Linked DNA regions of Saccharomyces cerevisiae S288C. The protein of the gene in region 1 interacts with the protein of each later gene in a biochemical or structural test. Each region holds a gene or a part of one and is shown in the gene's direction. Other genes may lie near its edges.

Region 1 (4,048 bases):
CGTAAGGAGGTTTGGCCGTTTTGAGTTAACAAATAAAAGGGCAGCATATAAGGAAGAAAATTCTATTTCTAGAAAAGACTATCTCGCAAAACCTAATATTTTGAAGCAGTTAGAGGTCAGGGAATCTAAAAGAAAGGAGTTACAAGACAAGTTGAGTAAGGTTCTTCGGGATGAACTTAAGTTAGATATAAAAGACATCGAATTGGCAACGTCATACTTAATTCGTGTAAGGGCTTCCCTGAAGAATGGATACCCCATAGAAGATGCAAGGTTCAATAGTAGATATTATTTAAAAGAAGAAGAGCGTTTGAAGGCAAGGAGAGAAAGCTGGACGAATGAGAAATTGTCGGAGAGTCTATCCAAGATTGATGAGTGTAGTGATCTTTTGAACTCATCTACATCTTTCAATAACAAGCTAGAGCTACACCAGTATATTTCGGAACAAGAAAAACAAGCTTTGAAGGCAAAACTATTAGAGGACCTAGAAAAATCCCAACACTTAGAAACCAAAAAAGACAAGAATTATATTAAGGCGCTTTTCAAGGACGCTTGTAATTTTTTGACTTTATCTGAAGAAGTACATTTGCGTAGGAAATACTTAAAGTCGGTCTTCCCCGAAACAGATAGTACGGTTGAAACCAAAAGCGGGAAGAAGTCAATTGTGTCTAGACGTTTTGATTACACCAAAAATAAAGTTGAAGTCATTGCTAGAAGTAGGCGGGCTTTTTTGAGCAAGCTTTGATTTTCTTTCCTTACGCACAGTATGTACACATATAAAATGTTTAAGAATGCCTGTAAATATTACTATTTTGTCGCGCAAGTAGCTAAACCTTTCGTCTACACGAAACTTAAAATTTAGTGCTACATGCAAGGGAATATGTTTATACTGTACATTCTCGTCTTCCTTTCATTGATGATATGCATCGCGATTGCTTTCATTTTGTGAACAATCAATTAACTAAAATGCACAGGATAGTAAAATCTATATTTACAAAAAGGCGGATAAGCAAACACTGAAAATCATAATGTTTTTTGTCACTTCGGTCCTTCAAGCTTGGTAGTTGATAAATTGTAAACTATACATCGTTTAATGCGACACATACAGCTCCCTTGTGGTGTCCACCGTACTGTCTGACAATTTCTCTAGTTGATAAATCCCATAATCTCACGTAATGATCGGACGATGCCGTTACTAGATACGCACTGTCAGCACTAAATGCGCAATCCCAAACCCACCTTTGGTGGCCATCCAATGTCGTTTCTAGCTTAAAATCATCATCAATCGACCACACACGAGCAGTGTGATCCGCTGAACATGTTGCCAAATGTTTTACATCAGATGATAGTAGAATTCTAGTTATATATGTGGAGTGCGCTCTGAATTTTGTTACCGGTTTTAGATGGGATGCGTCAGTATGATTTGGCATTTCCCATACGTAACAATTACCTTTAGTATTTGCTGCCGCTAACATCGAACCATCACTTGCCATAGATAAAGACTGGAGAGAGGTATCGTCCTCAGGTGTCAATTGATGGGTACACTGATTTTCTCCTAAGTCCCAAATTCTTATATTACCATCTCTATCACAAGATATCAACTCGCCTTGGTTAGGATGAATTACGACTTCATTTACTGGTGCGTTATGTTTGTAATTTCTAGGAATGGACGGAGAACGCACATCCCAAACTTTAATGGTCCCATCTTCGCTAGAGGTCACCATCCATCTGTTGTCCTGTTGAAAAGAAACGGAGGTAACGTTTCCCCGATGACCCTCAAAGGATGCTACTGGATTGGGATTTGTCGTCCGAATGTCATAAAGCCGTACGTTTTGATGGCCTGCTGTTGCCAACAACTTTTTATCGTTGGTGATTTCTAAGCGATTAACCTGTGAGTCGGAATGCTGAATTGTTCTTGAACAAACCCCAGTAAGAGCCTCCCAAAATCTTATTGTGTGGTCATAGCCAGCAGATACTAAGATAACAGACATCAATCAGAACTCCTTTTTTATATGGATGACAAGACTGCCACGTTGATCGCTGCGCTAATAATATATGGTTGTCGCACTCTTCTATAACATGATCAGTAATAGCTAGTCGTTACTTTTCTGAATCTTAACGTATTGTGTTACCCTCTTTGGTTTATATGAACGTTCCAGAAACTTCTGGAAAAAGAATGGGATATCCTTTTACGGGTTTTTCAACCACTGTCAGCACAAACTCCTTGCCAAGGTAGTTCGAGATTTAATATATATTGTATAGATTTCTCGTCCCTTTACCGTATTGTTAATCCCTTTTTAAACTTATGCGCTTTCTTGTCAAAAATTCTAATTAATATTATTTAAGCTCTTACACGAATTCTTTTAACGACTTAGAATTGTATAACCATCCAGAAACTCTTCAGAGGATAAAGGATAAGTTGTTTGCATTTTAAGATTTTTTTTTTAATACATTCACATCAATATAATAGAGTATAGTATACAGAACTAATAATGGTCAAGGAGACAAAACTTTATGATTTACTTGGAGTATCTCCAAGTGCTAATGAGCAAGAACTGAAAAAGGGTTATAGAAAAGCAGCTCTAAAATATCATCCAGATAAGCCAACAGGTGACACAGAAAAGTTTAAGGAGATATCAGAGGCCTTTGAAATTTTAAATGATCCTCAAAAAAGGGAAATATATGATCAATACGGTCTCGAGGCTGCTAGATCTGGTGGTCCAAGCTTTGGTCCTGGTGGTCCTGGCGGTGCTGGAGGTGCTGGAGGCTTCCCTGGCGGTGCGGGCGGATTCTCCGGAGGACATGCGTTCAGTAATGAGGATGCTTTCAATATTTTTTCACAATTCTTTGGCGGCAGTTCCCCATTCGGTGGTGCTGATGACAGTGGCTTCAGTTTCTCTAGTTATCCATCTGGCGGCGGTGCTGGTATGGGAGGTATGCCTGGAGGAATGGGAGGAATGCATGGCGGCATGGGAGGTATGCCTGGCGGCTTTAGATCAGCATCAAGCTCTCCCACGTATCCAGAGGAAGAAACAGTTCAAGTTAATTTACCAGTTAGTCTAGAAGATTTGTTTGTTGGTAAAAAGAAGTCATTTAAAATTGGAAGAAAGGGCCCACATGGGGCCTCTGAAAAGACACAAATTGACATTCAATTAAAACCGGGTTGGAAAGCTGGTACCAAAATAACATACAAGAACCAGGGTGATTACAATCCTCAAACGGGCCGTAGAAAGACTTTGCAGTTTGTCATCCAGGAAAAGAGCCATCCAAACTTTAAAAGAGACGGTGATGACCTAATTTACACTCTGCCACTATCTTTCAAGGAATCATTGTTAGGTTTTTCAAAAACTATCCAAACAATTGATGGCAGAACCTTACCTTTGTCGAGAGTACAGCCTGTCCAACCCTCACAAACTTCTACTTATCCTGGTCAAGGTATGCCAACTCCAAAGAACCCATCTCAGAGAGGTAATTTGATTGTAAAATATAAAGTGGACTATCCAATATCACTAAACGACGCTCAAAAACGTGCTATAGATGAAAATTTTTAATAGTAATCCTAAGCAAATATAATTATAAACTCAAATAAATTTATCACCACAGAAATCATATAATATACATCATTAATTTTGACTCAATAATCTTAAATTGCGCGGTGCGGTGCGCGGTAAATTAAAGTTTTTGTATGTCTGCATTACCCTGCCCTCTGGCATATAAATGATGTATGTAAGGAATGGTTGACTTGACAGAAGGTCACCGAGAGGCTACAATTTGTCAGGAACAGTCATTACGTAGGGATTTTCAAAAGTTTGACTGATGTCTACAAATATATTGCAACATGTTAAGCAATTGCTCCATAACAGAGATGTATTTAGCTTTTTTCACAACAAGACTGGAAATCTTAATTACCTAGATAACACAACTCAGAAACCGGAAGTTTTTGTAAGTCCAAATTCTACAATAGTTTCAGCCCCAACTTTGGACTCTTTTCAAGCATTGATGGAGAAAGGTAACTTCACCACTTTGCAACTAGCTAAGGTAGGAATTAGAA
Region 2 (4,657 bases), on another chromosome or scaffold:
TCCCTATCTCTTTATGACGTTTTGAACGCATTATCCAACCAAACTGGCCAGAGAGGGCAGCAAGGATATCCTCGCCAACCACAAAGGCCACAGAGATACCATCCCCATTATGGACAAGTGCACGTTGGCGGGCATCATCCTCGTCATCATCCATTGTATAGCAGATACAATGGTGTTCCTAATACCTATTACTACCAGTTCCCTGGACAAGCCTATTACTATAGTCCTGAATACGGTTATGATGACGAGGATGGTGAAGAAGAGGACCAAGACGAAGATATGGTGGGTGACAGCGGCACTACAAGACAGGAAGATGGTGGCGAGGACAGCAACTCGAGAAGATATCCATCATATTACCATTGTAATACTGCCAGGAATAATAGGACCAACCAACAGGCAAACAGTTTAAACGACTTATTAACCGCGTTAATAGGTGTTCCACCATATGAAGGCACTGAACCAGAAATTGAAGCAAATACCGAACAGGAGGGCGAAAAGGGAGAAGAAAAGGATAAGAAGGATAAGTCTGAAGCACCCAAAGAGGAAGCTGGCGAAACCAACAAAGAAAAACCTTTGAATCAGCTGGAGGAATCGTCGAGACCACCATTAGCCAAAAAATCTTCATCGTTCGCTCACCTACAAGCGCCTTCCCCAATACCTGACCCGTTACAAGTATCCAAGCCTGAAACGAGAATGGACTTACCATTTTCACCAGAAGTGAATGTCTATGATACCGAGGACACTTACGTAGTTGTTCTTGCGTTACCAGGTGCTAACTCTAGGGCTTTCCACATTGATTACCATCCATCTTCTCATGAGATGCTCATCAAGGGTAAGATCGAAGACAGAGTGGGCATTGATGAAAAATTCTTGAAGATCACGGAACTAAAATATGGTGCGTTTGAGAGAACCGTTAAATTCCCCGTGCTGCCACGCATTAAGGACGAAGAAATTAAAGCTACTTACAACAACGGTCTACTACAAATTAAGGTGCCTAAAATTGTCAATGACACTGAAAAGCCGAAGCCAAAAAAGAGGATCGCCATTGAGGAAATACCCGACGAAGAATTGGAGTTTGAAGAAAATCCCAACCCTACGGTAGAAAATTGAATATCGTATCTGTTTATACACACATACATACATTTATATTTATAATAAGCGTTAAAATTTCGGCAGAATATCTGTCAACCACACAAAAATCATACAACGAATGGTATATGCTTCATTTCTTTGTTTCGCATTAGCTGCGCTATTTGACTCAAATTATTATTTTTTACTAAGACGACGCGTCACAGTGTTCGAGTCTGTGTCATTTCTTTTGTAATTCTCTTAAACCACTTCATAAAGTTGTGAAGTTCATAGCAAAATTCTTCCGCAAAAAGATGAATCTTAGTTCTCAGCCCACCAAAAGAGGTACATGCTAAGATCATACAGAAGTTATTGTCACTTCTTACCTTGCTCTTAAATGTACATTACAACCGGGTATTATATCTTACATCATCGTATAATATGATCTTTCTTTATGGAGAAAATTTTTTTTTCACTCGACCAAAGCTCCCATTGCTTCTGAAGAGTGTAGTGTATATTGGTACATCTTCTCTTGAAAGACTCCATTGTACTGTAACAAAAAGCGGTTTCTTCATCGACTTGCTCGGAATAACATCTATATCTGCCCACTAGCAACAATGTCGGATTCAAACCAAGGCAACAATCAGCAAAACTACCAGCAATACAGCCAGAACGGTAACCAACAACAAGGTAACAACAGATACCAAGGTTATCAAGCTTACAATGCTCAAGCCCAACCTGCAGGTGGGTACTACCAAAATTACCAAGGTTATTCTGGGTACCAACAAGGTGGCTATCAACAGTACAATCCCGACGCCGGTTACCAGCAACAGTATAATCCTCAAGGAGGCTATCAACAGTACAATCCTCAAGGCGGTTATCAGCAGCAATTCAATCCACAAGGTGGCCGTGGAAATTACAAAAACTTCAACTACAATAACAATTTGCAAGGATATCAAGCTGGTTTCCAACCACAGTCTCAAGGTATGTCTTTGAACGACTTTCAAAAGCAACAAAAGCAGGCCGCTCCCAAACCAAAGAAGACTTTGAAGCTTGTCTCCAGTTCCGGTATCAAGTTGGCCAATGCTACCAAGAAGGTTGGCACAAAACCTGCCGAATCTGATAAGAAAGAGGAAGAGAAGTCTGCTGAAACCAAAGAACCAACTAAAGAGCCAACAAAGGTCGAAGAACCAGTTAAAAAGGAGGAGAAACCAGTCCAGACTGAAGAAAAGACGGAGGAAAAATCGGAACTTCCAAAGGTAGAAGACCTTAAAATCTCTGAATCAACACATAATACCAACAATGCCAATGTTACCAGTGCTGATGCCTTGATCAAGGAACAGGAAGAAGAAGTGGATGACGAAGTTGTTAACGATATGTTTGGTGGTAAAGATCACGTTTCTTTAATTTTCATGGGTCATGTTGATGCCGGTAAATCTACTATGGGTGGTAATCTACTATACTTGACTGGCTCTGTGGATAAGAGAACTATTGAGAAATATGAAAGAGAAGCCAAGGATGCAGGCAGACAAGGTTGGTACTTGTCATGGGTCATGGATACCAACAAAGAAGAAAGAAATGATGGTAAGACTATCGAAGTTGGTAAGGCCTACTTTGAAACTGAAAAAAGGCGTTATACCATATTGGATGCTCCTGGTCATAAAATGTACGTTTCCGAGATGATCGGTGGTGCTTCTCAAGCTGATGTTGGTGTTTTGGTCATTTCCGCCAGAAAGGGTGAGTACGAAACCGGTTTTGAGAGAGGTGGTCAAACTCGTGAACACGCCCTATTGGCCAAGACCCAAGGTGTTAATAAGATGGTTGTCGTCGTAAATAAGATGGATGACCCAACCGTTAACTGGTCTAAGGAACGTTACGACCAATGTGTGAGTAATGTCAGCAATTTCTTGAGAGCAATTGGTTACAACATTAAGACAGACGTTGTATTTATGCCAGTATCCGGCTACAGTGGTGCAAATTTGAAAGATCACGTAGATCCAAAAGAATGCCCATGGTACACCGGCCCAACTCTGTTAGAATATCTGGATACAATGAACCACGTCGACCGTCACATCAATGCTCCATTCATGTTGCCTATTGCCGCTAAGATGAAGGATCTAGGTACCATCGTTGAAGGTAAAATTGAATCCGGTCATATCAAAAAGGGTCAATCCACCCTACTGATGCCTAACAAAACCGCTGTGGAAATTCAAAATATTTACAACGAAACTGAAAATGAAGTTGATATGGCTATGTGTGGTGAGCAAGTTAAACTAAGAATCAAAGGTGTTGAAGAAGAAGACATTTCACCAGGTTTTGTACTAACATCGCCAAAGAACCCTATCAAGAGTGTTACCAAGTTTGTAGCTCAAATTGCTATTGTAGAATTAAAATCTATCATAGCAGCCGGTTTTTCATGTGTTATGCATGTTCATACAGCAATTGAAGAGGTACATATTGTTAAGTTATTGCACAAATTAGAAAAGGGTACCAACCGTAAGTCAAAGAAACCACCTGCTTTTGCTAAGAAGGGTATGAAGGTCATCGCTGTTTTAGAAACTGAAGCTCCAGTTTGTGTGGAAACTTACCAAGATTACCCTCAATTAGGTAGATTCACTTTGAGAGATCAAGGTACCACAATAGCAATTGGTAAAATTGTTAAAATTGCCGAGTAAATTTCTTGCAAACATAAGTAAATGCAAACACAATAATACCGATCATAAAGCATTTTCTTCTATATTAAAAAACAAGGTTTAATAAAGCTGTTATATATATATATATATATATAGACGTATAATTAGTTTAGTTCTTTTTGTACCATATACCATAAACAAGGTAAACTTCACCTCTCAATATATCTAGAATTTCATAAAAATATCTAGCAAGGTTTCAACTCCTTCAATCACGTTTTCATCATAACCCTTCCCCGGCGTTATTTCAGAATGTGCAAAATCTATTAGTGACATGGAACTCAAAGAACCAGTTGTTTTTTTGTCCTTTGGTCCTTCGCTGCTTCCCTCGGCATCATCATCATCATCATCATCATTATCATCATCGTCGTCATCATCGTCTATAAAATCATCTCGCATAAGTTTGTCAACATCATTTAGTAATTCCCATCGCTCCGGGTCTCCTTCGTAAATAAACAAAAGACTACTTGATATCATTCTAACTTCTTCTTCTAGCATAGTATTATAAAACAACTGCAATCTTTTCAAAAATGTTTTCTTCAGTTGATGCTTTCTCGCATCCGACAGATGAGGATTGTTAAAATAAAGTTCAATTGCATCTGAAACATTTTGATCGGTTCTTGAACGACCATACAATTTGTTTATAAAGATATAATCACTGTCTGCTTCTTCTTCGTAATATTCGAGCGAAAGCTGATTCAGCACAGAGGGATTTTTCTGTATTTTCATGCCACATATCCTGAAACCCAAAGATCCTGAAGTCGTCGTCTCACTGACTCTTTTCATTCTCTCTCTTTTTTCCAATGATGCCTTCGAATCATACAAAGTTTTGCCTAATTTTATATCAAGTATATTAGGTTTACTAAATCCATATAGTAGATTTTCTAAAACGAGGTATT
Region 3 (3,718 bases), on another chromosome or scaffold:
AGGTAAATACATGAAATTGGGTATGGAAAACTCATTAACTGAAAAAATACCCAAACTAAACGTACCTTTGAACCCAAAAGGAAGGAAACTTAGCGCTCCAGGTCAACCAGGTCTATATATAGACCAGCAAGAACTAGAGCTAGAAGAAGATGATTACAAAATGAAGGTACATGAAATGCAAAAGCTGATAGGTCTAGCATCATATGTTGGATATAAATTTAGATTTGACCTATTATACTACATCAACACACTTGCACAACATATACTATTTCCGTCCAAGCAAGTGTTAGATATGACATATGAATTGATACAGTTCATATGGAATACGAGAGATAAGCAATTAATATGGCACAAAAGCAAACCTGTTAAGCCAACAAATAAATTAGTTGTTATAAGCGATGCCTCGTATGGCAACCAACCGTATTATAAATCACAAATTGGCAACATATATTTACTTAATGGAAAGGTAATTGGAGGAAAGTCCACCAAGGCTTCATTAACATGTACTTCAACTACGGAAGCAGAAATACACGCGATAAGTGAATCTGTCCCATTATTAAATAATCTAAGTTACCTGATACAAGAACTTGACAAGAAACCAATTACCAAAGGATTACTAACCGACAGTAAATCTACAATCAGTATAATTATATCCAATAATGAAGAGAAATTTAGGAACAGATTTTTTGGTACTAAAGCAATGAGATTGAGAGATGAAGTATCAGGAAATCATCTGCACGTATGCTATATCGAAACCAAAAAGAATATTGCAGACGTAATGACCAAACCTCTTCCGATAAAAACATTCAAACTATTAACAAACAAATGGATTCATTAGATCTATTACATTATGGGTGGTATGTTGGAATAAAAATCCACTATCGTCTATCAACTAATAGTTATATTATCAATATATTATCATATACGGTGTTAAGATGATGACATAAGTTATGAGAAGCTGTCATCGAAGTTAGAGGAAGCTGAAACGCAAGGATTGATAATGTAATAGGATCAATGAATATAAACATATAAAACGGAATGAGGAATAATCGTAATATTAGTATGTAGAAATATAGATTCCATTTTGAGGATTCCTATATCCTCGAGGAGAACTTCTAGTATATTCTGTATACCTAATATTATAGCCTTTATCAACAATGGAATCCCAACAATTATCTCAACATTCACATATTTCTCATTCTCAATCTTCATGGTATCTTTTTTACACCGTATATGATAAAATACAAGTAATATAAATACCAGCCACTGGATGACATTGAAATTTTATTCTAATAAATGCATCAGCTCTTTAAAAACATTGCTATTTAGCTATTTGAAGCCAGAAATTTTCACAGATTACCATCCGATATAGTGTAACGGCTATCACATCACGCTTTCACCGTGGAGACCGGGGTTCGACTCCCCGTATCGGAGTGTTCTTTTTCTTACCTCTTGAAAAAGAGGTAGTAAAGTCAATATAAATTCTTGGCTGAAGTATTTCAATACAATTGGTCAAGGAAGTTATTATTTTTTTAATGACTTATATCTGTCCAACACAACAGGTTACACCATATAATCTCTATTTACTGGACAGGCGGAAATCGATAGTTTAGCTTTCCTAAAAATCGTTATATTATAGAAGCGTCTTGACACGTTTTCAAAAAAGGAAGAAGCAAGAACGAAAAGAGATAAGGATTCAAAAGAAAGGAAGCCCAATGTCTCGCAAATTTGATTTAAAAACGATTACTGATCTTTCCGTCCTAGTTGGGACTGGCATATCATTATACTACCTGGTCAGTCGGCTACTCAACGATGTTGAATCAGGACCGTTATCAGGTAAATCAAGGGAATCAAAGGCCAAACAGTCCTTGCAATGGGAAAAGCTGGTGAAAAGATCACCGGCATTGGCAGAAGTAACATTAGATGCATATGAAAGGACTATATTATCTTCTATCGTTACGCCAGATGAAATAAATATTACATTCCAGGATATTGGTGGCTTAGACCCGCTTATTTCAGATCTACATGAAAGTGTCATATATCCCTTGATGATGCCAGAAGTATATTCTAATAGCCCTTTACTTCAAGCACCTAGCGGTGTCTTGCTATATGGGCCACCAGGATGTGGTAAAACCATGTTGGCGAAGGCCCTAGCCAAGGAAAGTGGTGCTAATTTTATCTCAATAAGAATGTCATCTATAATGGATAAATGGTATGGTGAATCTAACAAAATAGTCGATGCAATGTTTTCATTGGCGAACAAGTTACAACCTTGTATAATATTCATTGACGAAATTGATTCATTCCTTAGAGAACGGTCTTCTACAGATCATGAAGTTACGGCAACCTTAAAAGCTGAATTCATGACTTTATGGGATGGCTTATTGAATAATGGAAGGGTTATGATTATCGGTGCTACTAATCGGATAAATGACATAGATGATGCGTTTTTGAGGAGGTTACCAAAAAGGTTTCTTGTTTCATTGCCTGGTTCTGATCAACGTTACAAAATATTAAGTGTTTTATTAAAAGACACTAAACTAGACGAAGACGAATTCGACTTGCAACTGATTGCAGACAATACCAAAGGATTTTCTGGGTCGGACCTGAAAGAGCTTTGCAGAGAAGCGGCCTTAGATGCAGCAAAGGAATACATAAAACAGAAGAGGCAGCTCATTGATAGTGGTACAATCGATGTTAATGATACTTCTTCCTTGAAGATAAGACCATTAAAGACAAAAGATTTTACAAAAAAATTAAGAATGGATGCTACAAGTACGTTGTCATCTCAACCTCTTGATTAAGGAAGGAAAATTAGAAAAAAAAGAAGAAAGCTTTTTATTCACGCATCATATCATATCAGATAAGCTAGTTTTCACATAATATGTGTATATGCAGTATACTCCTGTACATAACTTCCTTTATTTCTGCTTTATAATTATATACTAGTTATTTTTCTTGGGCCGCTTTTATTACGGCAACTATTCTATCAGGTTTAGTCATAATCTAAATCTAAAGATGGGGAAAAGCCAAAAACACTCAACTTTCAATGAATACAAAGCTTCATGAAAGCAATAGATAAAATGACGGATAATCCACCACAAGAAGGCTTAAGTGGGAGGAAAATAATATATGACGAAGATGGCAAACCGTATGTTGGATTACGCAAAGCAATTCAGGATCTACTGATCCAATCAAGCTTGTGATTTTTTATTAACAAATTCTCTATAATAGTTGCCGATCATGTAACACCCTACTTGACTTTCAGTACGTGACCGGGAAGATATCTAATGGCCTGAAGAACCTCTCATCTAACGGTAAACTAGCAGGTACGGGGGCTCTCACTGGCGAAGCTTCAGAGTTGATGCCTGGCTCAAGAACATACAGGAAGGTTGACCCTCCTGACGTAGAGCAACTAGGTAGATCTTCATGGACGCTGTTACACTCTGTAGCTGCCAGCTATCCTGCTCAACCTACAGACCAACAGAAGGGTGAAATGAAACAGTTCTTGAATATCTTCTCACATATTTATCCTTGCAACTGGTGTGCTAAAGACTTTGAAAAATATATCAGAGAAAATGCACCACAAGTTGAGTCAAGAGAAGAACTTGGGAGGTGGATGTGTGAAGCCCACAATAAAGTCAATAAGAAATTGAGGAAGCCCAAATTTGACTGTAATTTCTGGGAAAAAAGATGGAAGGACGGCTGGGACGAATAA

The links. The genes of interacting proteins can lie anywhere in the genome.
Region 2: the proteins of SIS1 (region 1) and SUP35 are reported together in a solved structure, tested with the Saccharomyces cerevisiae proteins (2 studies listed by BioGRID, with this or other methods).
Region 3: the proteins of SIS1 (region 1) and MSP1 form a complex in vitro, tested with the Saccharomyces cerevisiae proteins (one study listed by BioGRID).

What each region holds. Positions count from the first base shown.
Region 1 is NC_001146.8:618,007-622,054, reverse strand, and holds SIS1 (type II HSP40 co-chaperone SIS1), read left to right. Parts: upstream 1-2,489; coding exon 2,490-3,548; downstream 3,549-4,048. Other genes in the region: mitochondrial 54S ribosomal protein bL27m MRP7, read left to right, coding at 1-742; TOR complex subunit LST8, read right to left, coding at 1,077-1,988; putative ubiquitin-protein ligase ASI3, read left to right, coding at 3,814-4,048. UniProt on the Saccharomyces cerevisiae protein: Required for nuclear migration during mitosis. It is required for the normal initiation of translation. Might mediate the dissociation of a specific protein complex of the translation machinery. Essential for viability.
Region 2 is NC_001136.10:806,639-811,295, forward strand, and holds SUP35 (translation termination factor GTPase eRF3), read left to right. Parts: upstream 1-1,685; coding exon 1,686-3,743; downstream 3,744-4,657. Other genes in the region: heat shock protein HSP42, read left to right, coding at 1-1,110; ARG82 (inositol polyphosphate multikinase), read right to left, coding at 3,927-4,657. UniProt on the Saccharomyces cerevisiae protein: GTPase component of the eRF1-eRF3-GTP ternary complex, a ternary complex that mediates translation termination in response to the termination codons UAA, UAG and UGA.
Region 3 is NC_001139.9:540,488-544,205, forward strand, and holds MSP1 (protein-degrading AAA family ATPase MSP1), read left to right. Parts: upstream 1-1,715; coding exon 1,716-2,804; downstream 2,805-3,718. Other genes in the region: ERV1 (flavin-linked sulfhydryl oxidase), read left to right, coding at 3,066-3,151, 3,235-3,718.